3 linked regions of the Cricetulus griseus genome follow. The protein of the gene in region 2 interacts with the protein of the main gene of each other region in a biochemical or structural test. Links are inferred from orthologs where the notes say so. Each region holds a gene or a part of one and is shown on either strand. Other genes may lie near its edges.

Evidence for each region.
Region 1: the proteins of Oip5 (region 2) and Mis18a form a complex in vitro, tested with the Homo sapiens proteins (3 studies listed by BioGRID). The link is inferred for Cricetulus griseus from reciprocal best matches to the Homo sapiens genes OIP5 and MIS18A.
Region 3: the proteins of Oip5 (region 2) and Hjurp form a complex in vitro, tested with the Homo sapiens proteins (2 studies listed by BioGRID). The link is inferred for Cricetulus griseus from reciprocal best matches to the Homo sapiens genes OIP5 and HJURP.

The regions. Positions count from the first base shown.
Region 1 is NC_048597.1:7,010,092-7,020,366, forward strand, and holds the start of Mis18a (protein Mis18-alpha), read left to right. Parts: upstream 1-4,389; coding exon 4,390-4,783; intron 4,784-5,815; coding exon 5,816-5,882; intron 5,883-8,360; coding exon 8,361-8,483; intron 8,484-10,275. UniProt on the Homo sapiens protein: Required for recruitment of CENPA to centromeres and normal chromosome segregation during mitosis.
Region 2 is NC_048599.1:58,863,029-58,873,400, reverse strand, and holds the start of Oip5 (protein Mis18-beta), read right to left. Parts: upstream 5,383-10,372; 5' UTR 5,300-5,382; coding exon 4,999-5,299; intron 4,765-4,998; coding exon 4,698-4,764; intron 2,389-4,697; coding exon 2,266-2,388; intron 753-2,265; coding exon 671-752; intron 367-670; coding exon 271-366; 3' UTR 262-270; intron 1-261. Other genes in the region: Nusap1 (nucleolar and spindle-associated protein 1), read left to right, coding at 5,639-5,731, 9,322-9,390. UniProt on the Homo sapiens protein: Required for recruitment of CENPA to centromeres and normal chromosome segregation during mitosis.
Region 3 is NC_048595.1:439,832,589-439,842,875, forward strand, and holds the start of Hjurp (Holliday junction recognition protein), read right to left. Parts: upstream 6,838-10,287; 5' UTR 6,718-6,837; coding exon 6,622-6,717; intron 6,491-6,621; coding exon 6,424-6,490; intron 4,038-6,423; coding exon 3,982-4,037; intron 1,794-3,981; coding exon 1,703-1,793; intron 1,557-1,702; exon of another isoform or gene 1,532-1,556; intron 193-1,531; coding exon 128-192; intron 1-127. UniProt on the Homo sapiens protein: Centromeric protein that plays a central role in the incorporation and maintenance of histone H3-like variant CENPA at centromeres.

The sequences.
Region 1 (10,275 bases), on a different chromosome or scaffold from region 2:
CCAAGCGTTGGTGGCGCACACCTTTAATCCCAGCACTCGGGAGGCAGAGGCAGGCAGATCTCTGTGAGTTTGAGACCAGCCTGGTCTACAAGAGCTAGTTCCAGGACAGCCTCCAAAGCCACAGAGAAACCCTGTCTCAAAAAACCAAACCAAAACAAAACAAAAATCTGAGGAAGTCCAGAAAAATTTACATTTGATTAACGAATAGCATTTACCAATGTTAATATCTTGATTTTAATGAAGCTGGAAACTCTTGGTTCCATTTAGAACCATTCTGTAAAGAATATAATTTAAAAACCATTTTTGTGTGTGTGTGTGACTGGGAATAAATTGATACCTGAGCAGCCACTTGTGTTTGGAAAACAGCTCCACTGGTAAAGTGTTGCTTGCCTCACAAACACAAGGGGCCTGAGTTCAACCCCTAGAGCCCATGTACATTGAGTGTTGCTGGGTTTTTGTTTGTTTGTTTTGTTGTTTTTATAAACATGGGTTATGAGGATCAAACTCGGTTCCTCATTCTTGTATGGCAAGCATTTTACTGACTGAGCCATTTTCCCAGTCCCAAGAAATGACTCTTCATGAGTTCCATTCATCTCTGAGATAACAATGCAAACTCATACTAACAAATGTCTCCAAGACCTTGACTGCTAGCGTTGTTTCTTTCCGGTTAAAATCATAACCAAGATATGGATGGTGACGCTATTCTTTCTAGGTGTTTCTTTGGGGGAAGGGAGCAGCTTTTCTAGAAGGGGAGGGCTATGCTCAATAGTTAACAGTCCAGGCTCTCATAAATCTCTGACAGTCATCTCAACTGTTGCTCATGACCCCCGTGGACCTCAACCTTTTCATCGTTAGAACAAGATGCATTAGTGAAGACATGTGGGTTTCTCAGCTCTGCTGTATTATGTATGGGTTTACTGAAAACCCCATCCTCTCCCTACTTGTTTTAACTTTCTCGAGAACCAAGGATCGGTTAAGGACTGGAAAATTGTGATTCCACTCATCAAATAGAAGAGAGAAGAAACACTATTTAAAGAACATCCTGCCGAGCCGGGCAGTGGTGGTGTGCATGCCTTTAGTTCCGGTACTTGGGAGGCAGAGGCAGGCAGATCTTTGTGATTTGGAGGCCAGTCTGGTCTATAGAGCGAGTTCCAGGACAGCCAGGGTTATTACACAGAGATACTCTGTCTCGAAAAACAAACAAACAAGCATGTTTTGAACTCAGTTTCTTGATTTCTAGTTGTCCAGAGTAGAAGATGGGGCCACACAGTGGTGAGATACATTCCTGAGTTCCATCTGGAACATAGATATAAATATCACTCCATGCCCTGGTCCGGCTTACCCTACGGTGAGTTGTATCACCTAAGAAGAGCTCTTTATGGTGACAGAAGGTCCTTGGGGGCTGAGAGCACAATGTGCCATTCTCGTGGTGCCACTGATCAGAGAAGACAGCCTTGGGTACCATTTGGATCCTCTCCTCCCACCCACATCTAAACGGTCTTTGAATGCGGCTGCAATCAAACCTGCCTGGTAGAGAAGTCAGCCACCCGCCTCTGGGGACCTGCAATCACATCGTATTGTCATTCTGGTGTGCAAGTGTTAGGAAGTGCATGCAATTAAAATCTGTCTGTGATTGTAATCAGCAGTTATTAATTCTCATTTCCCTCAGCTGCCAGTGCACTTGTGAGCATCCGCAATCAGGGCGGCGAGGTGACTCAGAGGTTAAAGGTACTCAGCAGTCCAAGCCCCAGGAAGAAAAGAAGGGACTCCAGGTTGTCCTCTGACCTCCAGCATTTGCATGCCCCCCTTAAATAAATGTAAAGAAAATCAATCCACAATTCTCCCAGCAAAATGGTCAAGGGCTCAGCCATTAATTTCGTCTTTTTTCTCTTTCTGAGCTCTCTTTCCTTCCCTTCCCCTCCCACCCCATCAAGTTCAGCAAAACACGGGTTCTACAGTGTTTGGCAATGACTGCTATTTCCTGCCTCCACCAGGGATCTTGGAACTCTGAAGGATAATTCCTAGAAAGAGGCAGAGACCACCAAGGCCAATAGAGGGACCAGAACTTCAATGACTTTGGGAATGCTGTCAAGTTCAGAGCCCAGTTATTTGGGGTTATCTTTAGTCCCCTTACATGGTCACCTACTGCCCTCCTGTGTGAGGCCACATCCTTGAGACTTACATAAACACTTGCTTTGATATATACAAACAGATCCCTAGCCTCCAACCCAAATGCTAAGAATACGACCAGACCGCGTTGGAGGTCTACAGCAGAGGGCTCCCATGGCCTTGCTGTAACCTGCCTTCCTGGTATACCTGCCAGCATATTTGAAAAGGTGGTTGGTTTGTGGCATTCTCTGTTCCATTACCTCAATGTTAAGTCTCAGAAAGTGCATATATCCCGAAATAACAGGTCTTGACCCACCCCAAGCCGGACCACAGAAGGATTCCTGGCAGTTAAATAAAAGCCAGATTCCTCAGGAACTTGTGAAACAGGTTCCAGAAGTAGTCATCCCCCTGCGTCTCTGGCAGAAGGGACGTATGTGTCTGTGGTGGCATATCAAAGCCTGTGCTGGCCTCCAGGTTCCTCCGGTCCCTGTTCACCGCCACACATTTCAAGCCCCCAACTCCAGCATCCTGGCCCTTCTCACCGCCTCCTCTACCCCAAAGTCCCAGGTCTCCTCCCCCAGATACCCACGGGTTCTCTATGTAATGGCACCCCCACACCCTGCACTGCCCTCCATCTCAGCATCTGCACCGTTCTCTTTTGTTATTCTCCCCTTTCTTGCAGATACCCCAGGGCCAGGGCCAGTCTGCAGCTTTCTCTCTCTGCTCTGAACTTTTCCAGATGCCTCCAGATACTTTCTTATCTACAATAAAAACCTTCCTCTTTAATTGACAAAAGGGCCGTTTTGGCGGTTTCTTTACTGTGCCCCATTCACACACAATTAAAACCTCATAAAACTGATGCCACATTGGAATGTGAGATCTGTGTTCTTGGGCATGGCCACTTAGATTTGGCTCCATAATAAACTCTGCCTTAGCCACTTTGAGGTGAGAGCTATGCTTCTTGCAACAAGATGCAATCGCCTAGGATGAAGGCCTGCGATACTGGGTACCCTACTGTAGCATTTTAAGTATTGACCATGGGATCCCAAAGTCTGGTGGACAATTGCCCACTCAATTCCAAAGATGCTACCTGTGGGTAGATAACTCATGTGGGTTGTATTGTTGTGCCCAAGTTGCAAAGATCCCCCAGAGACCACCAGGAAGACAGATAGACCCACCAAACTGCAAAAGCAAGGCTTTATTAATCCAACCACGACAGGGACCCCGTCTGGCTAGCTGATGCAGCAGCCTCCAGAGGAAGTGAAATTCCCTGTCTACTGCTAGGTTTTCAAGACAAAAGCTACAGGATTACATCCTGTTTTTGGCCCTAGGCTCCGGGAGGCCAGAGGATCTGGAGTTTCCTTGTGTCAGAAGCCTAAGTGTCTTTTCTGTAGCCTGTCATGGCTGCTAAAGCAGGGGGCTGAGTGAGGGTCTGGTCCCTTCATTCCTAGAAGTGAAGCCTTTGAGATTAGTTTTCCCCTTTCAGAACTGCTCACGTGACACAGATAGTGTGGGGGAAGCCGGGCATTCTACAAAAGCAGTAGAAAAAAGGACAACTCCCTGGGAGGAAAAATCCTAAATGATTTGAAGCACTTTCTCCAAGCATGCTATCCTCACACATTCTCCTTTGTTTGTCCTCATTAATAGTTCAGAGGATTACTGATCATTTAGTACGAAGAATCTGCAAGGTAGGCCTGTAATCCTAGCACGCGGGAGACGGAAGCAGGAGACTCACTGTGGGGTAGGCTACACAGTAGATTCCAGGGCAGCCAGAACAGGACAACCGCCTCAGTAAAACAAACAAACAAAATAAAATCAAAACCATACTCAGAGAAGCCAAAATAGTTTCCCGGACTGCTAACCACCTCGTGGAGCGCCTAGGTCAACCTGAAGACTTTGGATTCGAAACCTTTTGCTAGTGGCGAGAGGCACTAAAGTAGGACGCAATTTGTTTTGTTTGTCTGCTTGTGTTTTTCAAGACAGGGTGTCTCTGTGTAGACCGGGCTGTCCCGGAACTAGCTCTGCTGGGATTAAAGGCGTGCACCGCCCCCGCCCAGCTACCCCAGCACGGGCGTGTGCACTGGTGCTCAGGGTGGGGAAGGGCCAGGCGAGCCACTGCTCCTGAGACCCTCAACATCCTCGACGGTGGCGTGGCGGAGCAGCAGAGACGCTCGCACACGCCCGCCCGCCGCCCGCTGACACTCCCGCTCGGCCTCCCAGCCTAGAGCGACCGGAGGACGCAGGCGCGGTGAGCCCAGCCCGCCCAGCCGGACGCCGAGCATGCGCATTAGCAGCTGCCGGGCCCTCAGGCCCCTCCCCTCGGGCGGAGCCGGGCCTCTGGGTCCTCGCGCGTGCGCAGCGGCGCTCTTCCCGTGGGTCCCCGGAGCGCGGCAGATTCGTGCTGGCCGGCGGCTTCCTGTGCTCTCCCGGGCTGGCCTGCCCTCCTCGCTGCTGGGAAAGCGGCTCTCGGAAGACTCGAGCCGCCGCCCGCTGCTGCTTCGGACGTGGGCGAGCATGTCGGGCGCGGAGGCCGGGGCGGGGCGGTGCGAGCAGAAGGCGGCCCCGGCCGGGGAGAACCCGCTGGTGTTCCTGTGCGCGCGCTGTCGCCGGCCGCTGGGCGACTCTCTGACCTGGGTGACCAGCCAGGAGGACAACAACTGCATCCTCTTGCGCTGTCAGTCCGGGCGGCCCCTGGGGCGAGCCTCCGGCACGAGGGCCCCGGTTCCCGGGGAGCGGACGGGAGGAGGGTGGCTCCCGAGTGACCACGGGTCTCCTTCTGGGGTCTGCCATCCCCCAAAGGGCATTGCCAAGCATCCTCATGGGCATTATTCGGATGTAGCAAGCGTTTTCGCTGGCTGCTTCCTTCAGGGGAGTGTCAGGATTTCTCAGATCGCAGGGGCTCCCTTAGCCCATGGCCCTTACAGCTCCATCCATCTGCTTGCAAATGTCAAGATGTCACTGCGGATACCACTGAGTGGTACTCCATTGTGTAAATGTACCAGGTTTTCCTTATCCACTCTTCGGTTGAGGGGCATCTAGGTTGCCTCCACGTTCAGGCTGTTCAGATAGTGCTGCTATGAACACGGTTGAGCAAATGTCCTTGTGGTGTGACTGTGCTTCCTTTGGGTATATGCCCAAGGGTGGGATTGCTGGATCTTGAGGTAGACTGATTCCCAATTTTCTGAGGAGCCACCATACTGATTTCTGCCTTGCTTTCTTTATGTAGTAATACTGTTGTTAGGTTTTAAAATATAACTGGGATAAACCGGTTATAGATGTGTTTATTTACCCCACATTAATAATAATCCTTTCTTTGTAGGAGCCGAAGTTTCCCTCAGGGATTTACTGGAATCACCCCTTTAACAATTGCAGGAGGGTGTAAAAGTGTTTTTTAAAAGATTAATTTTTAGGTTGGGCGATTGTGGCCCATGCCTTAGATCTCAGCACTCGGGAGGCAGAGGCGGATCTCAGTGAGTTCCAAGCCAGCCTGGTCTACAAATCGAGTTCCAGGTCAGCCAGAGCTGCTATACAGAGAAACCCTGCCTCCAAAAATAAAAAATAAAAAAAGATTAAGTTTTAGATTAAATTCTGTTAGTTAATATTAATTAACTTTCAGATTAATTTCATCTTGCCCCAGTTGGAATGTTTTACTTAGCTTTATTCACATTTACGACCACACTAATAAAGCGATGCCGCTCTCTTCCAGGTGTCTCCTCGAATGTGTCTGTGGATAAAGAACAGAAGCTGTCCAAGTGCAAAGATGAAGACGGGTGGTAAGTAAGGTATTTTTTGTGATATTATGTCAGGGAAAACGTTTAGTTTTAAGAAGTCTTCCACCATTGTGTGAGATTGCTTGTGACATAACTTTCCATGGTAATTGAACACATATAAAAAGTAAAAATCCATTGCACAGTGGGGATAGCCCTTTAGATGGGAGAGTGGAAGTTTCTAGGTTTCTGAAGGTATAGCTAACCCTGGTCTTAGGGTTTTGGGTTTGATGCTGAAGAAAAGGGAAAGTAAATGCAGAGCATGTCTATTTTAAAGTCTCAAAGCCTGAGGGGCCGTGTCAGTGTGAGCGCTGCCTGTCTCTGCCATGTCCTGACACAGATAGGAAATACTAACACAGGGCCCATCCACAGCCGACTGGGTACACGCAGCCATGTGTGGCCATAAACAACCAGTCTCAGTCACAGACACAGCAGTCCTGGGTGTGTGTGTGTCTCTTCTGGTCTTCTCCCTCTTCTTATAAAGCCACCAGGATTTAGTCATGGGCTCCACCATGATGACTTGTCCAGTCTTAGTTGCCTTCAGGAGACCCTGGTTCTGAAGGCTGTGCACTGTCTCAGTTCAGCAGCTCAGGGGAAGACAGACCACATCCAAACGATACCAAGATGTCAGAGGGCTCACATGACCTCCTGTATGGTGTCGTGGTTGATTTGAAAATTCAGATTATCCACTTATCGGTATATCCTAGGAGTTCAAATCTCAGGTTTTTTTCTAAATCCTTTTTCTCGATTAACAATCTTGATAATGTGTTGTAGCCTCCTAATTATTATGCAGCTTGTACACATAGCTACTATATATATATATAGATTTACCTGTTCACTGTTGGTAGTGTAGGTGGGGTTTTCAACTTGGGATCTACTAAGATGGTTTTTTTTTTCTTTAAAAGTTTATTATTTCATGTATGTGAGTATTTTGCCTGCCTATGCCTATGTGCACCACATGTGTGCCTGGTGCCCACAAAAGTCAGAAGAGGGTGTCAGAACCCCTGGAACTGGAGTTCTGCATGGTTATGAGCTACTATGTGGGTGCTGGAAACCAAACCTGGTTCTCTTGAAGAGTAACTGGTGTCCTTAACCACTGTGCTCTCCAGCCTCTAAGATGCTTTTATATTTCTTTTTTAAAAAAAGATTTTATTGTCTTTTTTTTTTTTTTTCCCGAGACAGGGTTTCTCTGTGTAGCTTTGGAGCCTATCCTGGCACTCGCTCTGGGGACCAGGCTGGCCTCGAACTCACAGAGATCCGCCTGTCTCTGCCTTCCGGTCCTGGGATTAAAGGTGTGGGCCACCACGCCTGGCCTTGGCTGGGCTTGTGTTGTGTGGCTGTGTTGAGGGGAGCAGATTATTGGGTTCTGTGTGTCTGACTTTGCTATGTGTACATGGTGCTTACACCAGACCCCTGGTGGCCTGAAAGCCTGAATACTCACTCTCTGTTTCATTACAGGGAAACTGCCTGCCTTCCTACCTAGAGCGTTGATGACCCTGGGTGATTGGTTGGACATTGTAAAGGATGTGCTGACTCTTTTAGATAGTTTTTCTAATACCAGATCAAGGACTGTATATTCTGGAAAACCCTGCCTTGGCATTTTGTTTATGTTTCTTGTCATCTGTTGCAAGAAGTAGTGTGGCTCAGAGCTGACCACATTTCTCCTGCAGTCATCTTATCGTGTACACACACACACACACACACACACACACAGACACACACACACGCACACACACACAGACACACACACACACACAGACACACACACACTCACACATACACTCACACACAGACACACAGACACACGCGCACACACAGACATACACACACACACACACACACACACACACACACACACGCACACACACACTCACACACACACACACACACACACTGTATGTATGCATGTATATATATGACTCCATACAGTCAGGATAAAGCTGGCTGTAGAGGTGCATGCTTGTCACCCCAGCATTTGGGGGAGGATGACGACTGTCAAAAGTTTGAAGTTGGGGTGGGCTACATAGTGAGACCCTGTCTCCAGCAACAGCAACAACAAACCCAGAAACAACAAGAAGAAACCACAAAAGGAAAACAATAGGAAGATAGTTATTTTTCACCTGAAGCAACTCGGGGCTAATGGAGTTTAGTTTGATTTTTATTTGTTTCAGAGGGTGTGTGTGTGTGTGTATGTGTGTGTGTGTGTCTGTCTTGTCTGTGTGTGTGTGTGTGTGTGTGTGTGTCTGTGTGTGTGTGTGTTGTGTGTGTGTGTGTGTGTGTGTGTGTGTGTGTGTGTGTGTGTGTGTCTGTGGAGGTCAGGGGACAACTCTCCTTTCACACATGGTCCTGGGGATGGATTCAGGCCTTCTCACTTGCCAGCAAGCACCTATACCCGCTGAGCCGCCTTGCCAGCCTCAGCTTGTGGACTTAGCAATCCTGCTCATTGCTACTCTTCCCCTAAGTGGTGTTGTGTCTTTATTGCAGCATTCTTGAGACTCTGTCCTGTACAGGCTGCTCCCTCAGCCTTGGCTATGTGTACAAATGCACTCCCAAGAACCTAGACTACAAGAGGGACTTGTTCTGCCTCAGTGTCGAAGCCATTGAAAGGTAGGTTTTTTGGATAAGTGGCTGCCTCATGACTGATTTCTCACAGTTAGGTTTGCAGAGATTGGCATGAGAACAGCCATGCTAAAGCAACACTGTTGGGTCCAAATATGTTTTTGAATAATAATTTCTGACAGTAAAGCCAGTGAGTCACCCTTTGTGTCTAATTCACTTGGTATTGGGAAAGTCAGACACTTAAGTTACAGGAGAAAATGTGAGACTTTTTTTAAAAGGAGAAAGCGATTGAGTTGTTTTTTTATTTTTTGTTTTTTGATTCTGGGTATTTGAGACAAGGTTTCCCTGTGTAGCCCTGGCTCTCCTGGAACTCTCTGTAGACCAGGCTGGTCTCAAACTCAGAGATCCGCCTGCCCCTGCCCCCGAGTGCTGGGCTTACAGGTGTGCGCCACAACAAGTTTCAGTGCATGCTCTTAGCTGGTGCTTCTGCCTCCCGGAGGCTGCGGTCATGTGTGCAAGTGTGCCTAGCAAGATGTTTCTAAGCAATTGTGTGGACCAGCATGTACTGTCCACACTTCCGTTATCAACCTCTCAGAACAGTGCTTCCCAACCTTCCTAATGCTGGGACCCTTTAACACAGGTCAGTGGTGAATTGTAACAGTATCTGATCTGCAACCCCTGTGAAAGGGTCTCTCAACCTCCAGAGGGGTCAGGACCCACAGGTTGAGAACAGCGGCCTCAGCTGATCATGAGGCAGGGCTGGGGTGGTAGCTCCGTGCGCTATGTACAAAGCCCTGGGCTCAGAGCCCAGCGCCGTGAACTCAGTGTGGTGGTGTACACTGCAGTCTCGCACTTGGCAGGTGAGGCAGGAGGATTGGGACTTGAAGCTAGGTAGAGAGCTGGCCTTGGGAGCCATGAGACTTAGAATCCCCTCTGACTCCCCAAAAGAATGTCACAAAGAATTGGCATTTCAAATTGGTTAAGAAAGCAGTCCCTTTGGTATTCTAGTAAATTTAGTTATTTACTATAATAAACAATTGTCTGGTTTTTTTGTTTTTGTTTTGTTTTCTGTTCTTTCAAAAATGCAAGGAAATGTCTGTATTCTACAGGATTTCTAAAAAGCATTAGTAACCAATGTGAATTGGGTGTCACAGGCCCCTAATTTCAGATCACCTTTAATTTTAGTAGTGCTTTGAAAATTTCATATTCATATATACAGTGTATTGATTATATTCGTATCATATAATGTATTGATCATATTCATATACAATGTATTGATCATATTCATACTCACCCCCTCACCCCAACTTCTCCCAGCGCCATCACCCCACCTGCTCCCTCTAGAACTTCCAGGCCTCTTTTTTTTTAATCTAAATAATCTCTCAAGTCCAATTTGTTGCCTCTATGCTCCTGTGTGTGGCTGTCCACTGGGGCACAGTCCACTGCCAGGGCTACACCCTTAAAGAAACTGACTCCCTCTTAGAAGCCGCCAGCCATCACAGCTTCTTTGATCATTTGGAAAAGCCCAGTGGAAACCTGCTGTTTTATTATACATGTATAATATATGTATAATAAATACATATCTGATGCTTATTGGAATTACCCTACACTGGGGATTAGCTCATCCCAGAAGCCCTGGGTGGCCAAATAAAAAAAAAGTGCTAGATTCAGGAAACCTTACCCTCAGGACAATCGCAGATGCCTTAATGATCTTCCAACCGATTGGCCTTTTAAAATAGGAAATACAAAATTAGATCAATTGATACCGACCAATGCCTCTTAATTCATCCTTGTAAAGATGCTACCCTAAGACCTGTGTCAGGAAAGGACAATTTAAGAA
Region 2 (10,372 bases):
CTGTTAGGCAGATAAGAATGGCCTACAACTCCAGCTCCAGTGAATCTCATCCCCTCTTCTGTCCTCTTCTGTCCTCCATGAGCATTAGCAAACACGTGTCACAGACAGACAGACAGAGAGAGAGAGAGAGAGAAAGAGAGAAATCTAAAAAAGAAAAAGGAAGGAAGGGAGGAAGGAAGGAAAGTAGGAAGGAAGAAAGGAAGGAAGGATGAGATGACCAATTGGTCCTGTTGTTGCAGCTGGGAGGGACTTCTGTACTACCTTGTTTCTTCAGTTTTCTTGGTTAGAATGGTCAGGAGTCACGTCCTTCAGAATCTTTATCAGTGAATTTAATCGAGCGTGCATTAGCATTATCTTCTCTTTCAGCTGGGAAGAGACCGATTAAAGATTTCTTATACTCTCTCAACCCTCAGTTTGCAGGTTATAATGTCACCAGTTTAAAAATAATAAATCTTTAAAAAAAACAAAACAAAACAACCATGCACAACACACACACATACACTTAAAAATTGCCTATATTAAGGAAAAGGATATAGCTCAGTTCTAGAACAGGCTGATCTACACAGTTAATATGAGGCCAGTCAAAGTTACAAAGTAAAATCCTATCTCCAAAAAGAAAAAGAAAAAGAAAAAGGTTTTGCATATTAAGTAACTACACAACCAAGTTTACCTCTGCAATCTTTTCTGGTAGAGGCACATTGTGAATATCCATCTCAGATGCACTTACTATTTCCTTTGTTTTTAAGAGATAGCTAGAGAGAAAATATATAAAGTATTAATATCATTTCCAAGAAGTACCATCAAAGCCTGCCTTAATGGCTCCAAGGATCATGGTATTTTTTATTGGAAAAACAAATTCTCAGTTAAAACCAAAAACTTTCCCATTCTCAGAGACAAAATTATCTCAGGAAAACTGAAAATGAATCCAGAATCAAATTAATAACTACCATGTGTAAAAAAAATTCACTAAAGGCTGGGCATCCCATCTCTTGGGAGACAATGGAAGCTGGGTGCTGGAATCCAAACTGGGTACTATGATCGAGCTGTAATTTTAACTACCGAGCCATTTCTCCAGCCCTTTCAGTTTCTTGTAATAAAACACCTTAAGTCAAATGTTTTATTAGCTAGGAAGATGATGAAGTATCCAATGAATCTATGGGAAAAGTAGTAAATGAGATCATAGTCAATACTATATTCTTCATTTCATTAATCTTTTTCATCAGGTAAGATTTTTTCTGTATCTGGAGTAAAGTGCAGAAAATACTTACTCCAAGAGTAGTGCATTCACTTTCCAAGTTCAGCACCAGTATCACCTAAAAATGACTGTAGGTCGCTGCGTTTAATATTATCAACTGACAGATCTGGGATGACATAGGAGACAAGCCTCTATGAGGAACGATCTAGATTAGCTTAATCTAGATGTGAATAACACCAATCCATGGGCAAGAGTACAGGACTAAAAATAAAAATGAAAAAGTAAGGGCTGGAGAGATGGCCCAGCATGGTTAAGAGCATTAGCTTCTCTTCCAGAGGACCTGGGTTCAATTCCCGGCAACCATATGGCAGCCCACAACTGCCTGTAACTCCAGTTATACCCTTACATATACATACATGCAAAACACAAACGTACACAAAAATAAAACTAGATCATTGGAGAGAGAAAGCAACCTGAGGATTAGCATTAATCTCTGCTTCCTGACTGCTGACACAATAAAACCAGCCACCTCCTCCATGGCTTCCCACCATGATGGACTGCACCCTCAGACTATGAGCCACAATAAGCCCTCCCTTCCTTAAGGTCAATTTTGTCAGGTGTGTTGTCCAGTCACTACACAAGTAACCAATACAGCCCTCATTTCAAATTCCTAGGGTAGAAAATTTGATTGGCTTAGTGGGTCAGGTATAAATATACATTTCCTTGAGGTTGGGTACCACGTGGGCCAAATCCTATATATGAGAAGGGTATGAGACACAGCAGTAAACCAAGTAATCTTGTACAAGACTATTTTACAGAAGCATACCTTCCAGAATAACCCTTAATGAAAGAATACCCTTAAATTACTCTATGTGACTATTAAGACATGGTACAATAAAACATCTAAAGTAATCATGATATTTATCACAAGATTATATTTTGTCTTTATTTAAGGTATGTGTATAATAAACAGTGCCTGGCCTTTTGCATTTTCTTTGGTTATAAACACCTTGACTTTTCTAGAAAAGTTTAAAAACCTGATTTGATAAATAATATCTCTGTCTACTCACCACACCATTTTATCACAGGAAAGGCAGAAGTGACCTCTCAAGGCAGCCAGAGCAGCATGGGTGGAATACAGATGGAAACCAACAGGAACCCCACAGGAATTACAGAAGAGTAGATTGTATGTGCTGGTGGGAATGGAAAGAAGCAGAATATAACATCAGGAAAACCCAGAACAGAAATAAAAATCACCGCCTTCTGATGGCAGTGTCTGTTATCCTGCCACTCAGAAGCCCAGGCAGGAGGATCTCAAGTTCAAATTCACAGGCTTCCAAAGACAGCTGGGATACAGCAGACTCTTGTCTCAAAAAAACAAAAACAATGGGCTGGAGAGAGGCTCAGAGGTTAAGAGCACTGTCTGCTCTTCCAGAGGTCCTGAGTTCAATTCCCAGAACCCACATGATGGCTCACAACCATCTGTAATGAGATCTGGTGCCCTCCTCTGGCCTCCAGGGATACATGCAGGCAGAACACTGTACACATAATAAATAAAATCTTAAAAAAAAAAAAAAAACAAAGGTCATAATTTATGACAAAAATTAATTTCTGTACTGCCTCCGATCACTTGTACAGTCCATGGCGCCCTACCTTATAAAGAAAATTACTACTGTCCTTAAGATGTTTGGGGTTTTTCTGCTCCATGCTATAGAGTTAACATAATATAGCTTGTTGGGCCCTGGATCATGAACACTGGAGGACTTAAGGCATTTACTTCTAATATGTAAACAAATTGTATCTCCATTTCATTATATAGAACAAGGTCAATTAGATTTTAATTTTTTTTTTAAGATTTTATTTATTATGTATACAGTCTTCTGCTTGCTCGCCAGCAGAAGGTACCAGATCTCATTTAAGGTGCTTGTGAGCCACTATGTGGTTGCCGGGAATTGAACTCTGGACCTCAGGAAGAACAGTCAGTGTTCTTAACTACTGAGCCATCACTCCAGCCCCTAGATTTTAATTTCTATTCATTGTAATATTCCATCAATCTGGAAGACAACAAGTCATAATAGCAACAGGCAGTGAAGTGGAATATTTTCCCCTACTCTTTTTTGTTTGTTTGTTTTGTTTTTTGTTTTTTTCTGAGACAGGGTTTCTCTATGGCTTTGGAGCCTGTCCTCGAACTAGCTCTTGTAGACCAGGCTGGTCTCAAACTCAGATCCACCTGCCTCTGCCTCCCGAGTGCTGGGATTAAAGGCGTTCGACACCAATGCCCAGCCTTATTTATTTGTTTTTTTGAGACAGGGTTTCTCTGTAGCTTTGAAGGCTGTCCTGGAACTCACTCTGTAGACCAGCCTCTGCTTCCCGAGTACTGGGATTAAAGGTGTGTGCCACCACCACCTGGCTTACCAGGCTTTTAAAAAGAGATTTGGTGTAGGTTTCCATATATGAGAACCCAGCACTTGGGAGGGAGAGGTAGAACTGTAAAGTCAAGGCAAAATCATTATTTTTTGTGAAATTAAGATATTTTACATAGCTAAACATATTAAAAATGTCACTTCAGGAGCAGTGAGATGACTCAAGGGGTAAAGGCACTTGTTGCCAAGCCTGAGGAACTGAGATTAATTCTTGGGACCAGCATGGTGAAAAGAAAGACTCCTTCAAGTTGCCTTTGAACCTCAATATATATGCCAAGCCCCAAGACCCCCAACCATACTTACACACACACACACACACACACACACACACACACACACACACTGTTTATTTATGGTTTTTCAAGACAGAGTTTCTCTGTTGTAACAGCTCTGGCTGTCCTGGAACTCACTGTGTAGACCAGCCTGGCCTGGAACTCACAGAGATCCACCTGTCTCTCTCTACACACACACACACACACACACACACACACACACACACACACACACACACACACACACCACCTGCCAAGCACTGAGATTAAAGGCATAAACCACCAGGTGAGAAAGGACTCCTATAAGAATAGGAATGTGTCTTTCAGTTTGGCAAAGTGGAATAGAGGTATGGTTACAACTTAGTTTTGGCCTCATAAGCACAAATTTGCTGAGTACTTTATTGCTATGGGGAAAATATGGGAAGAGGCAAATTACTAGTAGTACTGAAACACCAAACATTCAATTGTGTTTCCCCAGTTTCAGAGATTATTACAGAATTAGTTCTGTTATGGTTTGTAATATAAACTCCAAGTTAAATTAAAATTTAAATAGTCCTAGTTATCTCACAGGATGTTTTAGTCCTCAGATGTTAAAACCTACACCCAACTCTAATTTTTCTTTCATTAATGCCTTGTTGACATGTTTCAAACGCATAAAAAATGTACCATCCAAATATATTGTATGGAGAGAATAAACTTTTGTCACAACAAAAATAAAGTTTTTTTTCTTGTTTACGACAACTACATAGTCCTCGGTGTCATTAAATAAGGAACTATAGATCCTTCTCAGGAATTCTCCGCACGTACCTGCATTTGAGAGAACCTTCAATGCCAACGAGACAGGGCTCTAATAAAACGACATTGTTCGTGACTCCTGAAAGACAAAAGGGTTTTGAATAGGAAAACCGCCCACCAGATTCATCCTGGTCATAAAAGTCAACAAAACGCGTGGGGCTCATCCAAAAGCGCAAGCTTAGCTCACGCGAGGTCGGTCCAAAGTTTGATTCCCAGCTCCGGAAAACAAAACCACGCCTCCCTCACCCAGCTCGTTTACGATCCCACAGGTCGGGATTACCCTTTCTCAGACGCCAACCCTCGCCTCACTCACTGGAGAAGGCCACGGTCCCGAGGGACCTCGACAGGTCCCAGGCGAGATGCACGGTGTCGGCGAGCACCGCGTGGCAATGCGCGCAGTGGAACACGGCGCACCTCTCCGGTTCCAGCCACGCAGGCAGCCGCAGGTCGACCGGTGACGTCTCCACCTCAGTCTCCGGAGGACCTAGAGGGGAAGACCCTGACACCACCTGAGTGTCCCACTCCATGGAGGTAGCAGCAGAAGGCGTGTCACAAGAGTCACTGCAGCACGGCGACTCGGGGGACGGGAGGAGGCGCCGCGAGCGAGCCATCATTCTGAAGCCGGCGCCTCTTTTTGTACGCTCGCGCCAGGTTCCACCGAAACGAAGTTTCCTGCATCCTCGTTGGACAACATGCCCGTAAGGCACGCCCACAAGCCGTCGAGCGCCGCGTATTCATTGGTTAGGCTTGCGCTATTGCGCGCTTCAGCAGCTCTATTGGCCAGCATCGGAAAACCCCACCCCCGAGGCGTTCAACCAATGGACGTGCAGCAGCCTCCATTTAAAATGAATATAAAAGTCGGCTTGTCAACGCCTTGGGTGGCGCCAGTTTTGAACGCTGCTGTTTGAGTCGCCTGGTTGTTTTTCTGGGTGTCGCCGGGATTGTAGAACGCGATGACCGTCCCCTCTGCAGAGGAGTTGGACTCTTTCAAGTACAGCGACCTGCAAAATTTAGCCAAACGGCTGGGCCTCCGGGCTAACCTGAGGGTACGGTGCTGGCTGGTGGTGCGGGCAGTTGGGTCGGCGGGGTAGAAGAGACCAGGGGTGTGGGGGTCACGGGGCGAAGGGACAGAGAGGGAACCCCCGGGGGACTCTGGTTTTGGGTGAGTAGGTTCGGCTCACGTTGGCTGGAATCTGTTAAACGAAAGAGAAGATATATCTGTTATTTTATTTGGAGGCAGGAACTCATAAAGGCCTCTTACTAGAAACTCTAATGATAGTTTCCTGCTGCCAGAAGGAAACACAGACCCATAAGACATAATCAATGTAATGTCTAATGCCTGTTATTAGAAAAAGTTGAATTGGCTCCTGGAAATTTCCCAAATTACTACTTTTAAGTAAACTGTGATAGTAGTACCTACAATCTTCTTGGGCCTTTATTTGGATGCCAAGCCATGGGGATATAGTATGATCGCTATAGTGATGGTGTTCTTTTTCAAAACCGGTTAGGACTTTTGCAAGGTGTTCAGAGAAAACGTCATTCATTGTGAGACTGGGGCTTGCTATGTTGGAGTTGAGATTTCCCACATGTGTACCCCGTAGATTTGTACAGCAAGCTGATATTTACACTAAATGTCTATTCAGTCATCACAAATATTTTTAAGTGATATAAACAGAATAATGAGACCATAGATGCTCCTCGAATCTGTCTGAATGGCAATGAAGAGTACTTGGAAATGTTTCTGAGTTACACAACTTTAATGAGTAAAGCTTAGGCCCTCAGGTATTTGCTATCTTGTGGATTTTTTGTTTGCTTTTCTTTTTTTCCCCAAGAGATTATTTTTTTATTAGTTCAAATTGGAAACAAGGCTGCTTCACATATCAATCCCCTCTCCCCTTCCCCCAGCCCCCACCTCATCCCCCTCTGCTCCCCAGGGAGGGTAAGGCCCTCCATGGGGGTTCCCCAAAGTCTGTCATATCATCCTGGGCAGGGCCTAGGCCCTCCCCCATGTGTCCAGGCTGAGAGAGCATTCCTCCATGTGGGATGGGCTCCCAAAGTCCCTTCTTACTGATTCACTACTAGGGGCCCCATAGAGTGCCAAGGCCTCCTCATTGACATCCATGTTCAGGGTTATGGATCAGTCCCGTGCTGGCCTCCTAGACACCAGTCTGGGGTCCATGTGCTTCCATCAGCCACTGAATGAGGGCTCTAGGATGGCATATAAGGCAGTCATCCATCTCATTATAGGGGAAGGACATTTAGGATAGCCTCTCCACCATTGCCTAGATTGTCAGTTGGTGTCATCCTTGTAGATCTCTGGGAATCTCCCTAGTGCCAGATCTCTCCTTGAACCTATAATGGCTCCCTCTGTTATGGTATCTCTCATTCTGCTCTCTTCTATTCTTCCCCCGACTCAACCTTCCTGCTCCCCCATTTCCTCCTCTCGCCTCCTCTTCTCCCCCTCTCATTTTCCCAGCTCCCTCTCCCCTACCCTCATGCTCCAAATTAGCTCAGGAGATACTGTCCCCTTCCCCTGCTCTGGGGTCCATGCATTCCTCTCTTAGAGTCCTTCGTGTTTCCTAGTTCCTTTGTTGATGAGGATTGTAGGCTGGTAATTCTTTGTTCTATGTCTAAAATTCATATATGAGTGAGTACATACTATGTCTTTTTGTGACTGGGTTACCTCACTCAGGATGGTTTCTTCTAGTTCCATCCATTTCAAGATTCCATTGTTTGTTTTTTCTGCTGAGTAGTACTCCATTGTGTAAATGTACCACATTTTCTCTATCCATTCTTCAGTTGAGGGCATCTAGTTTGCTTTCAGGTTCTGGCTATTACAAACAATGCTGCTATGAACATAGTTGAACATATTCCTTGTTGTATGAATGTACATTCTTTGGGTATATGCCCGAGAGAGGAATTGCTGGATCTTGAGGTAGACTGATTCCCATTTTCCTGAGAAACTGCCATACTGATTTCCAAACTGGTCGTACAAGTTTGCACTCTCACCAGCAATGGAGGAGTGTTCACTTACTCCTCATTCTCTCACTAGGTAGATCAGACTGGCTTCAAACTCTGAGAGAAAAGTGTTTGGGCTGGGCGTTGGTGGTGCACGCCTTGAATCCCAGCACTTGGGAGACAGAGGCAAGTGGATCTCTGTGATTTTGAGGCCAGCCTGGTCTCCAGAGTGACTGCCAGGATAGGCTCCAAAGCTACACAGAGAAACCCTGTCTCGAAAAAAACAAAACAAAACAAAAAAGTAAAAAGTGTTTGACCCTCAACTGTATACCTCAGTGTAATAGGGAAAAAAGAACCTAATAAATATACTTGATGTTTGATTGTTTTGAAATAGGGTCTCATTCTGTAGCCCAGGTTCGCCTAGAAATCTCAGGGAATTGCTGTACCTGACTACATTTGACCTTTTAAGAAAGAAAAGCCATGGGAGCTGGAGAGATGGCTCAGAGGTTAAGAACACTGGCTGTTCTTCCTGAGGTCCTGAGTCCAATTCCTGGCAACCACATTTGTCTCACATCCACCTTGAATGAGGTCTGGTGCCCTCTACTGGCCTACAGAGCACATGCAGACAGAAGACTGTATACAGAATAAATAAAATCTTAAAAATAAAAAAAAAAGGAAAGCTAGACAGATCAGTATTTATCTTCAAGAAAAAGAATAGGGAAACTGTCCTAGAATGGAAAGTGAGTCCAGGACTTCCCTCTTTCCCAAGGACTTGTAAGACCCTCACTACAGGATACCACCGCCCACAAGAGAAACTCTGGCCCAAAACAGATTCCCTAGTCAACTTGATATTTCTGCTGACTTACTTCCTTTGTAGGTTTTCATCCATCTCTACAGTCCAGGCCACAGTTTTGATTTCCTAAGCATAGAGTTGGTCATCTGCTGTCCTGAAGCTAACTCTTCAAAGACTGTTCTTTGCTACAAGGACGAAGTTTTACACTCAAGAAGCCTACAGGGCAGGCCTAGCTAGCAAAATTAGGATCCTAACTGCTTTCAACCCCCTGACACACACACACACACACACACACACACACACACACACACACACACACACAGGGTTTTTCTGTGTATTAACCCTGGCTGTCCTGGAACTAGCTCAGTAGACCAGGCTGGCCTGGAACTTACAGAGATCCAACTGCTTCTGCCTCCCAAGTGCTAGTATTAAAGGTGTGCGCCACCTCCTGGCTTACCTTTCCAACTTTTTTCTCACCCTCTTCTCCATTGGGTCAGTGTTCCAGCCATGCTAAACTTAGTCCTCATCTGTCCTGTTGTTTTCTTTCCCTTATTTTTCTCCATCTTGTCCTCTCTGTTTGACACTGTCTTCTCCATTCTCACAGTGTCAGCAGCCTCAGCCAGGACAGCCATCTTAAAGCTGGGGCATCCCATCACCTGCTGCTGACATTGGTCCTATGGAGCCCACAACATAAAACTTTGTCATATACCCATTTTATGTCTTTTTTTCTTCACCTGATTTTGCCCCTGGGGTGTGAAATTTAATTGTGTTCTAATCTGTCAGCCCAACCAGAGCACCTTCAATAAACAGAGGAAAAGAGGTGTCTGACATAGTTTTCCTACCTGTTTGACTTTGAATGTAATGATGAGCTGTTCTTTTCTACAGGCAGACAAGTTGTTACGAACCTTGAAAGCCCACCTGAATGCAGAAACAAGGAAAGAGAATCTAAATCAGGTGAGTGATGTTCTTTGCCAATTATTAGCTGGTAAAATATTGTTAGTTAATGAGCAATTAATACTTATTAGTGATGATTTAAGATGCAGTAGCCGGTGTAAAGGCACATACTTATAAACCTACTATTTGGAGGTGGAGCTGGCACAGACTACTAGAGTACTAGGTCAGACACTGACCCCAGCTCAAAGAAAACAAAAACAAAGAAAAAGATGTGATGTTTATTATTATATGTACCACCATGCCCAATTTTGAATTTTTTATTTTATTTTTTTTGGTTTTTCCAGACAGGGTTTCTCATGGCTTTGGAGGCTGTCCTGGAACTAGCTCTTCTAGACCAGTTAGTTACAGGGAGTTGGATACCCTGTAACTGGAGTCATAGATGGTTATAAGCTGCCATGTAGGGGTTGGAAATTGAACACTGGTCTACTGAAAGAACAACAACCCATTTCTCCAGGCCCATTTATTTGTTTGTTTGTTTATAGGCAAGGTCTTCCAATGTAGCCCAGACTGGCCTCAAATTTGAGACTCTGTCTTACCCAAGTATCTAGGATTATAGGTCACCAAACATTTGTGGAAAAGCTACAGCCCAAAAAATACTAAGATAAGTAGAAGAAAAATACCTGAATGATGGAGCTGGAGCCTGGTAGTGGTGGTGGCACATGCTTTTAATACCTGGATTTGGGAAGCAAAGGCAGGTGGATCTCTGTGAGTCTGATGCCATCCTGGTCTACAGAGTGAGTTCCAGGATAGCCAAGGTTACACAGAGAAACCCTGTCTTGAAAAAAAAGAAAGAAAAAAGAAGGAAGAATGGAGCTGGTAGAAAAAAAAACAAAACATATTTTATGATGGGCAGTGGTGACTCATGCCTTTAATCCCAGTACTTGGGTGGCAGAGGCAGACAGATCGCTGTGAGTTCCAGGACAGCCATGACCACACAGAGAAACCCTGTCTCAAAAAAACAAAACAAAAAAACATACTTAAT
Region 3 (10,287 bases), on a different chromosome or scaffold from region 2:
GGTGCCCAGAGCTGAGGGTAGCAGCAGAGTCTTGGGGGACATCTACAAAGGAGGGATGCTGCCACAGGCCACATGCTCTCTGGGAGCTGCAGCAGTACTTGATAGGGTCACTAGAAGCTTCTCTTACCATCAAGGCGCCAGGCAGCCGCTCCTCTTCATCTGCGCTTGTATCTGCTCCGCTGCTTTCTGAATCTAGAAGTAGAGAAAGTTTTAACACCTGAAGGTCTCACAGGATGTATCTCCCATCTCATGTATCACTTGAGACAGCTACAGTAAAGATCCCTGTTGGCTTAAGAACCTTCCCCTGGGGTTGGGAAGATGGCTTAGGGGTTAAGACTGTAGTGCACGCCTTTAATCCCAGCAGCACTCGGGAGGCAGAGGCAGGTGGATCTCTGTGAGTTCAAGGCCAGCCTGGTCTATAGAGCCAGTTCCAGGACAGCCAAGGCTACACAAAGAATCTCTGTCTCAAAAAACAAAACAAAAGAAAAAACCAACCAACCAGAACCAAGAAGAAAGAAGAATGCTTACTGTTCTTCCAGAGAACCTGAGCTCAGTTCACAGCACTCATGTTGGGCATCTCACAACCACCCCAGCTCCAGGAAAATCTGATGCCTCATTCACATAATTTAAATAAATTAAATCTTAAGGAAATGTTCCTCTTGTGCCCATGATTGCCAGTAGTCTAGTGCCTGTGACCAGAAAGACATCCAAATGGACAACAGGAACAGCAGATTCTCCAATTCAGTGACCTCAGATCTGATACACTACGACTTGCCCATCAAATTGAACTCCCGGGATAATGGGAGTTCCAATCTGCTGCCCCACAGCCAGGGGCTGGGCCACTGGACCAATAAATGTGGCTAATCAGGCCGAGGGACAGATCTTTTTAACAAATAATTCACTAAAACACCAACAGGATGCTCATGGCCCCAACATCTAAGGCACCACTTAAACCATTTTCAGTGGCTTAAAGCAGTTGGGGGGTGGGGGTGAGGGATGGATCTAAGTGGTTTGTGGAGCTAGGATCCCCAGTAAACAAGGAACCCTGGCAAGCAGCATGACCACCTTCTCCCTGCTCTCACCTGGGGAAAGAAAAAAAAGAAAGAAAAAAAGAAAAAAAAAAAAAGGCTTGCTCCACTCTTCCCCAACAGGGACTCACTGTGTAGCCTTGGCTGGCCAGGAACTCCCTGTGTAGATCTAGCTGGCCTCGAACTTACAAGGATTCCACCTGCCTTTGCCTTGCAAGTGCTTGGATTAAAGATGTGTGTCAGCACACTGGGCTCCAGACTAAAGTTCTAAAGATAGGCTTCAGCCAGAATGTCTAGGGAGTGGGGGTATTTTTCTGTGATTTGGCTGCAAAGGGATTGAATGGAGGGAGCTGGGGAGACAGGAAGAGCACAGCCTGGAAGCCTTGTGGAAGGGAAGGAAGCTGAGGAAGGAAAGACAGATACTGGCTGCAGAGGCGGGAAAGGAAGAGGTCATTTCTATAGAAGCAGGTGCTCCCATCATCCTTAGGGACAAATCCTAAGACCTGCTAAATGCTGACACTAGTGGGCACGACATGGATCCCCATCTTCCAGAGACCTAGGAGAACAAGAAATATACATAAAACATTAACAGTGAGATACCTCACTGTAAACTGCTGTAGTGGAGACAAGCTGGCCTCGTCCCTAGCCTCCCTTTCTAACAAGGTAACACTTACCATCTCCCGGGACTTGTATGCAGGGCTGTAAATGCTCACTGCTGTCTGGAGCTTGCCTGTTTAATCTGGTAATCATCCTCATAGAAGAGTCCTTGGGGTATAAAAATCAAGAAATACAAGCTTAATCAAGTCACAACATATCTCTAGCCACTGTGTATCAACACATTCACAATCCTAGTGGGACACACCAGGGGAATAACGGCTTTGCAATTATCTTCCTGTATGTGCTTAATGAAGGGCCTCAAGACTTCCAGAAGATGGTAGAAAATTCCACTGGTCAAGGAGAGGCTACAGCAGAAGTCAGGAACCCAAAGGGCTGACCTGGGATCTACAAGTATTGTAGTGTCTGGGGCTGCTGCAGTTCCTGCTGGGTGGAGCCACTGAGTATAGTCAAAGGGTCACTCCTCTGGGGAGGACACTTCCACTCTCTAAGGCCTGTGTTCACCAGGCTCCACTAGGAAGGCGCCAACAAGTGCTTATTAGTAAGTGCCAGCACTCAACAGAAAGCTGCTTACATGATTTCAGATGGGCCCAGGGAACCTGAGGTGGCCAATCACCACCAAACTAAGTGACTCCTGCCTCCAGGGACATCACTGCAAGCTAAAACCTCAAAGTTTTCAGCTTAAATTTTATGGCTTCCAGTGTCTGAAGGGCAGAACTTCTGACATTCATGGAAGCAGCTGGTCCTCAGTACCCACTACTGTTTGTCTGGCACCTACAAAGAGGGCCCATGCCAAACAAACCAGTGCAGGGCAATGGGGAGTCCATCTTAACTTCCTGTCTCCCACCATCCTCAGGAGGGCAATCTTGGAATCAGCATAAACACTTGGTCATGGGCGGAGATCACCAATAATAAACCCCAGCAACACTGTAGAAGTCCTCAGTTGTAAATACAGGCTATGCATGTCCACTTTTCTAGTCCTAAGAAAAGCTCCAGCAGTTTTACAGACCTCAGGCAGAGGGTCTCCTACATTTTAAACAAACACCTCAAATAAATAATTTTTTTGCTACCAGAATTACCATTCTAGCACTGGCTGTCATGTGTCCTCTGGCCCTGAGTGAAGGTGACACAGAGGGTAGGGCAGGCTGCTCCTTGAGGACCATGTAGCAGGCTTAATAAGCCAAGCCACAGATGTGTTCACTTTCGCCCCCTGGTGGTTCTCTCATAACAGAGCTGAACAACAATAACAAACACATGGCTGGCACATCCTGAAGCACTTACAACATCTTTGCAGACAGAGCATGCTGATCCTGATTCAGAACAGGAAGGTACAAGGGCCAAATGCCTTGGAACTGATCAGCAGTTAAAAGAAAAAAAAAAAAAAAAAAAAAAGAAAAAGAAAAAAAAAAGACAACTATGGAACATGGCTGTAATCCTAGCATTCCAGGAGGCCAAAGGAGGACTGATGTCAGTCTGAGGCCAGCCTGGGCTACACAGCAAGTTCCATGTTAGTTTGAACTACAGTGTGAGTCTGTGTCTCAAAAAACAAAAAGGCAATCAGATTATACAACAGCTGGTGAAGACAAGGATCCCATTATTGATGAACTAGAAAGGTGTATGAGGTGCATTTACAGACAGGAACTAAAATGGTATCAGTGATTACATGCACAGCAGTCAGCTAACCCAAGTGTTCTAGCCTTCCTATGGCTATAATAATCAACCAAGGAAGCTCAGTTTCAGAATTTCTATTAATGCTGTGTAACCTTAATCTTGATGTTCCATTGTGGGTAAAAGGTTTCCCCAGGAACCATGGTTGCCCGAGATTCATTTAGACCAGACAGTCTTATAGTCATTACCAGGGCAAAAAACCACACAGTCTCACAGCAGGAAGGCAAACTATTGATGCCATCCAGGAAACCAGTATTCAATCACTAGCTGTAGAGCCCTGGTGCAGGGAAACCCTGCAGAAGGGTGTGTGATTCTGCACTCTCGCCTCTTCATCCTTCTGCTTCCTGGTTTCAGAGGATGAAAGGGCCATTGTTTTTATCAAAAGAAATGAGATTTGGTCTTTTTTTGTAAGGCCCCAACAAAGGAGTCTCTAGCTGGTCTAGTACACAGTCTGCAGGTCCCCAATCTGGTCCAGCATCGGCACACATGAGACGGTTCTGAGGGCCCTGTGAACTACGATGGAGAAAATTTAGCACACAAGAGCCAGGCAACAGAAGAAATACCTGAGGTGGGTCTCTCGAAGCTCTCAGCAGTGGCCTCAGGGCTCACTCACACAGGGATTTAGTCAACACTACAGTAAAGCATTAAAGGTAAACTTGACGATAATTACCTGAGTTTGTTCCTTGCTTTTTTCCTTTATCAACTTTCCTCCCCAAACTCTCAATCCTTAAAAAAAAATGAAGATGACAATTGAAGGAATCCAAAATGCTCAGTTGCACTGACAGAAAACCAAGCTGGATGGCACAAAAGGCTGTACACTAAAAACAATCCAGGTTTTGGCAGTGTTGGACAAACCTATCATTAATGACAATTCTCTCCTACCCAGAAGGCAGCAGCTTACCTGATTTCAGCACTAACCTGAAGCGCTAAGGACAGTTCATATTCTAAATACATACTACATGCATATTGACTGGAGAGGGGGCACATATACCATACATTTACAGAGCAAGCATTCCCCACCCCCTCCCTGAGACAAGGGTTTCTGTCTAGCCTTAGCTGTTCTGAAACTCACTCTGTAGACAAGGCTGGCCTTGAACTCAAAAAGATAAATCTGCCTCTGCCTTCCCCAGTGCTGGGATTAAAGGCGTGCACCACCACTGCCTGGCTTAGAACAAGGGTTTTTACAGGGCATTTTTTGTACCCCATCCTTGGCTTTCCTAGGGCAATCTACTGGCCTAATACAGAGAAGCCTGCATACAGAGAACTCTGGAGTTCAAGTGCACCGTCCCTGTCACTCACTAGCTAGCAGAACCTGTGCAATATACTCCTTCTAAAGTTACTAAGAAAGAATGGTGGGTTTTGAGGTATGAGATGACTGTATTATAACAGAAGCATAAAAAAATTTACACAGCACTCTCTATGCTCCAGATTTTTACCAAGGAGACACCATTTAGTACCCACAACCCATCTGCATGTAACTCCTACACCCACCCAGAAGCCCACGGGGAACAGAGACTTAGCATGTTTGCTGTGGACAGACACGCAAAGGAAAAGGAAGTTCAGACGACTAGCCCAGGCTCTCCACTCATGTAGAGGAGCCAGCACGTGACTTCTGGGAGGTGCTGACTGCACTTGATCACTGTACAACACAGTCTTTCCAGAAGACAGCGATGCTTGAGTATATGGGTTCATGAGTCAAACTGAGGCTTTGCTGCCCTGGCTGAGTGGCCCTCTCTGTGGGAATCTACCTTTGACAGCAATGGTTTTTAAAAGGGGCTTCTACTGCAGGGTTGAAACTGGACTTCACAACTTCACAAGTGCAGGCACAGGTGAACCATCAACACAGGCAAATGAATCTATTCCTGCTGCTGCTGCTGCCACAATCACTGTCTTTGATGGGGGTTCATGCTATTGCACAGGGAGGGTCAGGAGCATCTTTGGAAAGGCCATGCCAAAGACTCTCTCAGATTAAGTAATGGGACGTTGGGACTCATGGCATGAATACAAGCTACGAGCTTGCTAGGATGCAGAGTTATTAACAATTGCAGCCCTAGGAGTCCATGTGCTGGCCAGTTCTCAGGGAGGGCCCTTTATATGCCAACACGGGATGGTCTCAAACTCTTCAGATACTTCACTGTTGTTCTCATATAACTGACATCAGGTTTTCATGGACAAAATGAGTGTTATTCAAGATAGATAGACTGTCCAAAACATTCCAGACGCTGCCCACCCCTGCATGAACAGTCACAAGAACACAGAGAAGCCTACAGACAGACAGCACCCTCAAAGACCCCTGTATTACTGTATCCAGATCCCACCCAGAGCAAAAAAACAACCTGCTGCAGTATTATTTCTGTTTCTGTGTAAAACTTTCACTGAACATGTGCCTTGAACAGTCAAAAAGACAAAGGGCAAAGACTGCACTTGTCAAAGAGTGGGTTCTATAGACTCTTGGCAGACTGTGATGTGAAATCAGATTTTATTACTAAATGATGAGTCTTATGGAAGGAACTAACCTCATCAAATGCAAACACACCCCAGTTAAAGAATCCAAGCAAGAGGTGCCAGGCGTTGGCGGCACACGCCTTTAATCCCAGCACTCGGGAGACAGAGGCAGGCGCATCTCTGTGAGTTCGAGGCCAGCCTGGTCTCCAGAGCGAGTGCCAGGATAGGCTCCAACGCTACACAGAGAAACCCTGTCTCGAAAAAACAAAACAAAACAAAACAAAGGTTTAAGGCAGTCCACAACATTTAATAAAATGGCTCCGGAGAGGCAGACTGATGGACTGTCTACAACAGATGGGTCCGAGTTACACAGCACAACTCGTGAGAGCCGAGCAGTTCCAATGGCTTTGCAGGCACTCCGGTACCCATGGTTGTCAACGTCCTTTTTACTTTACGGAGACACTGTGCTGCCTTTAAGCAATTAGCTCGGGCTTCCGCGCCGGGCGTTTAAAAACTCAGGCTGCATCTGTGTCTCCGGGCATTGCTTTTAGAGAAATGACTTGGAACTCAGCAACTCACGGTTGCAAAGTGAGGGGAACAAGTGCCGCGTTGCAAATTCTAGACCCCACCATTCTAGCACACTGCCAAGAGGAGGAAGGTTCCGTACCCTGGGGCGTCTCGTAGGTCAGCGTGGACATCTGCACCAAAGGGTCGTCCTCAAAGGGCTGGTTGTACTGCGGGGAAAGAGAGCTGCTGATCAGATCCTCGGCGCTGGATCCCCGCCCGCCCGCCCGCTGCCGCTGCCGCTGCCCGCTGCCCGCGCCCGCTGCCCGCTGCCCGCCTCGGCCAGCCCAGCCCAGCCCACCTTCGCTATCAGCCGATGCATGAACGTCTGGAAACGGTTCCGGCTTTCCTGGAGATGCCGCAGCAGCCTGTTATCCGGCTGGTCTTTAGGATCCATGGCGCAGGCCGCTCACAGCCTGGAATCCGCACAGTCCAAGCCGGCGCACAGATCAAACGGGCCGCCCGTCGCGCTGATAGGGCCTTTCAAACGTATTTACGCAACCGATCCTGCCTGTGCTTCCGGTCGCCTCTCCCAGGGAGCGCTTCCGGCGGAAACGAAGGAGGGAGGGCAGCCGGAGAGGGTGGAACATGCGCATTGCGTCCCCATGAGGCACTCCCGCGCCCTCTAGAGGCGCCTGGACGAATTGCCTGCGTGTCCCCGCGGGGTCCCGGAGGCGGTCCCTGTCCCCATCCTTTTGGGTCGCCAGCTTGGAAGGGCTGAGAGAAAGACAGCGCCAAATAACTGTCCCGAAAGGAGTCAGGAAAGCCAGGGTTCATAAATTCCAACAAAAGGCACGTTTAAAGGTGCTGACAGATACTATGAATGTGACAAAATCTATGGTTTTTATCCTAGGGTTTTGATCAACTCCCTTTCCAATTTCTGATTATATACTGTTTCTTGAGAGGACTGGTAATTAGGTGTCCATTTTATGAGGGCATTTACTTTGGTTGACATTTTAGAAATGTTTCACATAAGTTTTTTTGGATTTTGTCTTCTTGTGGGGTTGGGGGATTGAACCCTAGTTTAGGATGGTTTTACTCTGTCTTCATAACAGTTGCATTTGTGTGCTTGTGTTGGTGTGAGTATCTCAAAGTGGGTGATAACGGAATCATTACTGAGGACCTGCACCATAATCTTCCCACGCTGTCCTGTTGAAGCTGCAGAGGGAAGAGGCTCTGGCAGGCGCATGGGCTGTGGATGTCCGCACAATGTATTTGCTGCAGGCACAGAGAGAGGCTATCAAGTCGCTTTCAAGATGCTTAGCTTAGGGCCCTCAGTTGTCTGACTCTCTTGGCGTTGTTTACTGATGGGGGCTGCACCATCCAAACTGCCAGCGTGACCCTGGCCCATGGGGGGATGCGAAGGCTGTGCTGTTTGAGTGCAAAGGGGGTCAACCAGACACAGCATTCGGCCCCCCAGTGCCTCCGTGTCTTCCCCGTCGCCGTGAGCTGAATTTCTCTGAACTGAAAGCTAATATAAATCTTTCCTTCCTTAACTTGCTGTTTTTGCTAGGTATTTATCACAGATAATTTTGAGGAAAATCAAGTAAAGAAATTACATAAATGAAACAGAACAGATACTTTTGTCCTAAATGTTTTTATATTAGTGAAGATATATACAATTCAAGGATCTGCTATATTTTATTAATAAAAATAGTTTTAAAATATTTGATGCTATTTACAAGCCATATTTTGCTAATTATTGAAGGAGTTTTCAAATATAGTGATGTGAAATCTGGTCGTGAAGGTTAAATATTAAGTATATACAGGCATACATGCTGGCAGAACACTGTATACATAATAAATAAATCTTTAAAAAAACATGTTTGTGCTTTGATGTCATGAAGCCACATTTTGAAATCTAAGCAATTAAAAATGTTGACAGGGGTTTAGCCTAGGGATATTTATGAAGCACTAACCACATGTTCAATACTCTGAGGGTGCTGGGTAACTTAGTTGCATACCATCTATGTTCCATTAAGTTTTTGTTCTGTTTTGGTTTATTTGTTTGTTTGTTTTTGTTTTTTTTTCGAGACAGGACCAGGCTGGCCTCGAACTCACAGAGATTCGCCTGCCTCTGCCTCCCAAGTGCTGGGATTAAAGGCGTGTGCCACCAACGCCTGGCCTGTTCCATTAAGTTTTAATGGTATCTAAAGTGAATATGGCATTTAAGTCTTAACCGTAAGTTCTAAACATATACATTATATGCCTGTACTTTTCAAATGTCTGGATGGGTCTGGAGAGATGGCTCAGCAGTTAAGACTGTGTGCACCTCTTGCAGAGGAACCACGTTCAGTTCCTGGTGCCTTTGTCAGGCTGCTCACAAACACCAGTAACTCCAGTTCCAGAGGATTTTCTGACCCCAACATGTACCCACACTCATGTGTAGATGCCTGCCTACACATAATTAAATATAATAAATCTTTGAAAAATGTGTATGTTTTCACAACTTGAGTGTGCATTTAGGAAAATCTCCATGATATATTCAGACCAATGATGGCATAATAGAATATTTTTTTGTTACAAACTGTTTGGCTTATTGAATATTTTTAATATTAGCTTTCTCTGGCCACATTTTCCAGAATGGGTGCCTGTTATGCAATGTGAGGCTGTGTTATTCATGGAATAAAAGAACACAGACAAACAATCACTTGTTTTTCCTCTGGTTATACAAAATTAGAATATTTTTATCCCAGTGAGACACATAAGGCTCCAGACATCCTAAACCTGTCTCCATGCAACTGAGCCATGTTTTATCATCATGGCACCTCACCTCTCCAGTCTTACCCAGAAGTGTTTTTTTCCCTGAAAAAATAGGGCTAAGGCTTTGGTGATATTTCTGCTCTACCTTCAAGTGGTGGGAAATTTTTTTCTTCTTCACCTTGGGTTTTCTGTAACACAAATGCATTCTTAGGGTCACAATTAATGTGTTTTAATGGGCTACACATTTTAAAAATCAATGGAAGAATTTACATCAAAAATAGAACACAATTAGATTGATTTGAGTGACCTATTTTTAATCAGCCCCATTATTTATGGATCTGAAAATTCTCAGGACATCTTTCTCTGGAGCATGCAAAGATCAGCCCTTGTGGTATTATGTGTGAATAGTTTTAAAATAGGAGTCTCAGGGTTAATTGATAAATTGCTAAACATGCTTCCCCCTTTCTGATTTTCTAAAGATCGGGTCTCATTCTGTAGTTTATACATTTTTTCCTTTTTTTTTTAACCGCTCAAAACTGTCTATTGTAGGAATGTTCTAAGTTTGCCCTCTGGCCTCTTTTCCTGGTCTAGCGGCCCAATGCAGTTCTTTCCTCCTCCCATGGCTCACTGGGGTGTTCTAGTTGCATTCCTGTTGATGCGATAAGCCACTCTGACTGACAGCAACTTGGGAAGAAAGGATTCTTTTCAACTTAACAATTTCAAGTAGCAGTCTGTCACTGAGGGAAGTCAGGACAGAATCTCAAGTAGAAACCACTGAGGAATGCTGCTTACTGGTGGCTGTCTCTCTCTCTCTGTCTCTGGCTTATATGTGGAGGTCAGAGGACAGTTTTGGGGAGACAGTTCTGTTGTGGAATTTTAGTTTAAGACTGTTACATTTGTTTATGCTGAGGAACATTTATTTAATGATGCAAAGATGTGTTGCATTCTTTTATGTTGCATTTGTTTCACTCTGTAAAGCTGTGTTAATTTGCCTGCCCCAAGCACCTGCTTGGTCTAATGAAGAGCTGGATGGCCAATAGCCAGGCAGGATAGGTAGGGCTGCCAGGCAGGGAGAATAAGTAGGAGAAATCTAGGTTCCAGAGAGGATTGGGGAGTGAGGTGGACACTGTTATGATCCATATCTTACAGGCTGGAATCTATGTCTGGGGGTTGAGAATGTCGGGTGGTGAAACCTGTCCAAGGTCCTGAATAACTGATGGAGATGGAGTTTGGGCCTCAGCTCCTTTAAGTGTGAATATTCTCT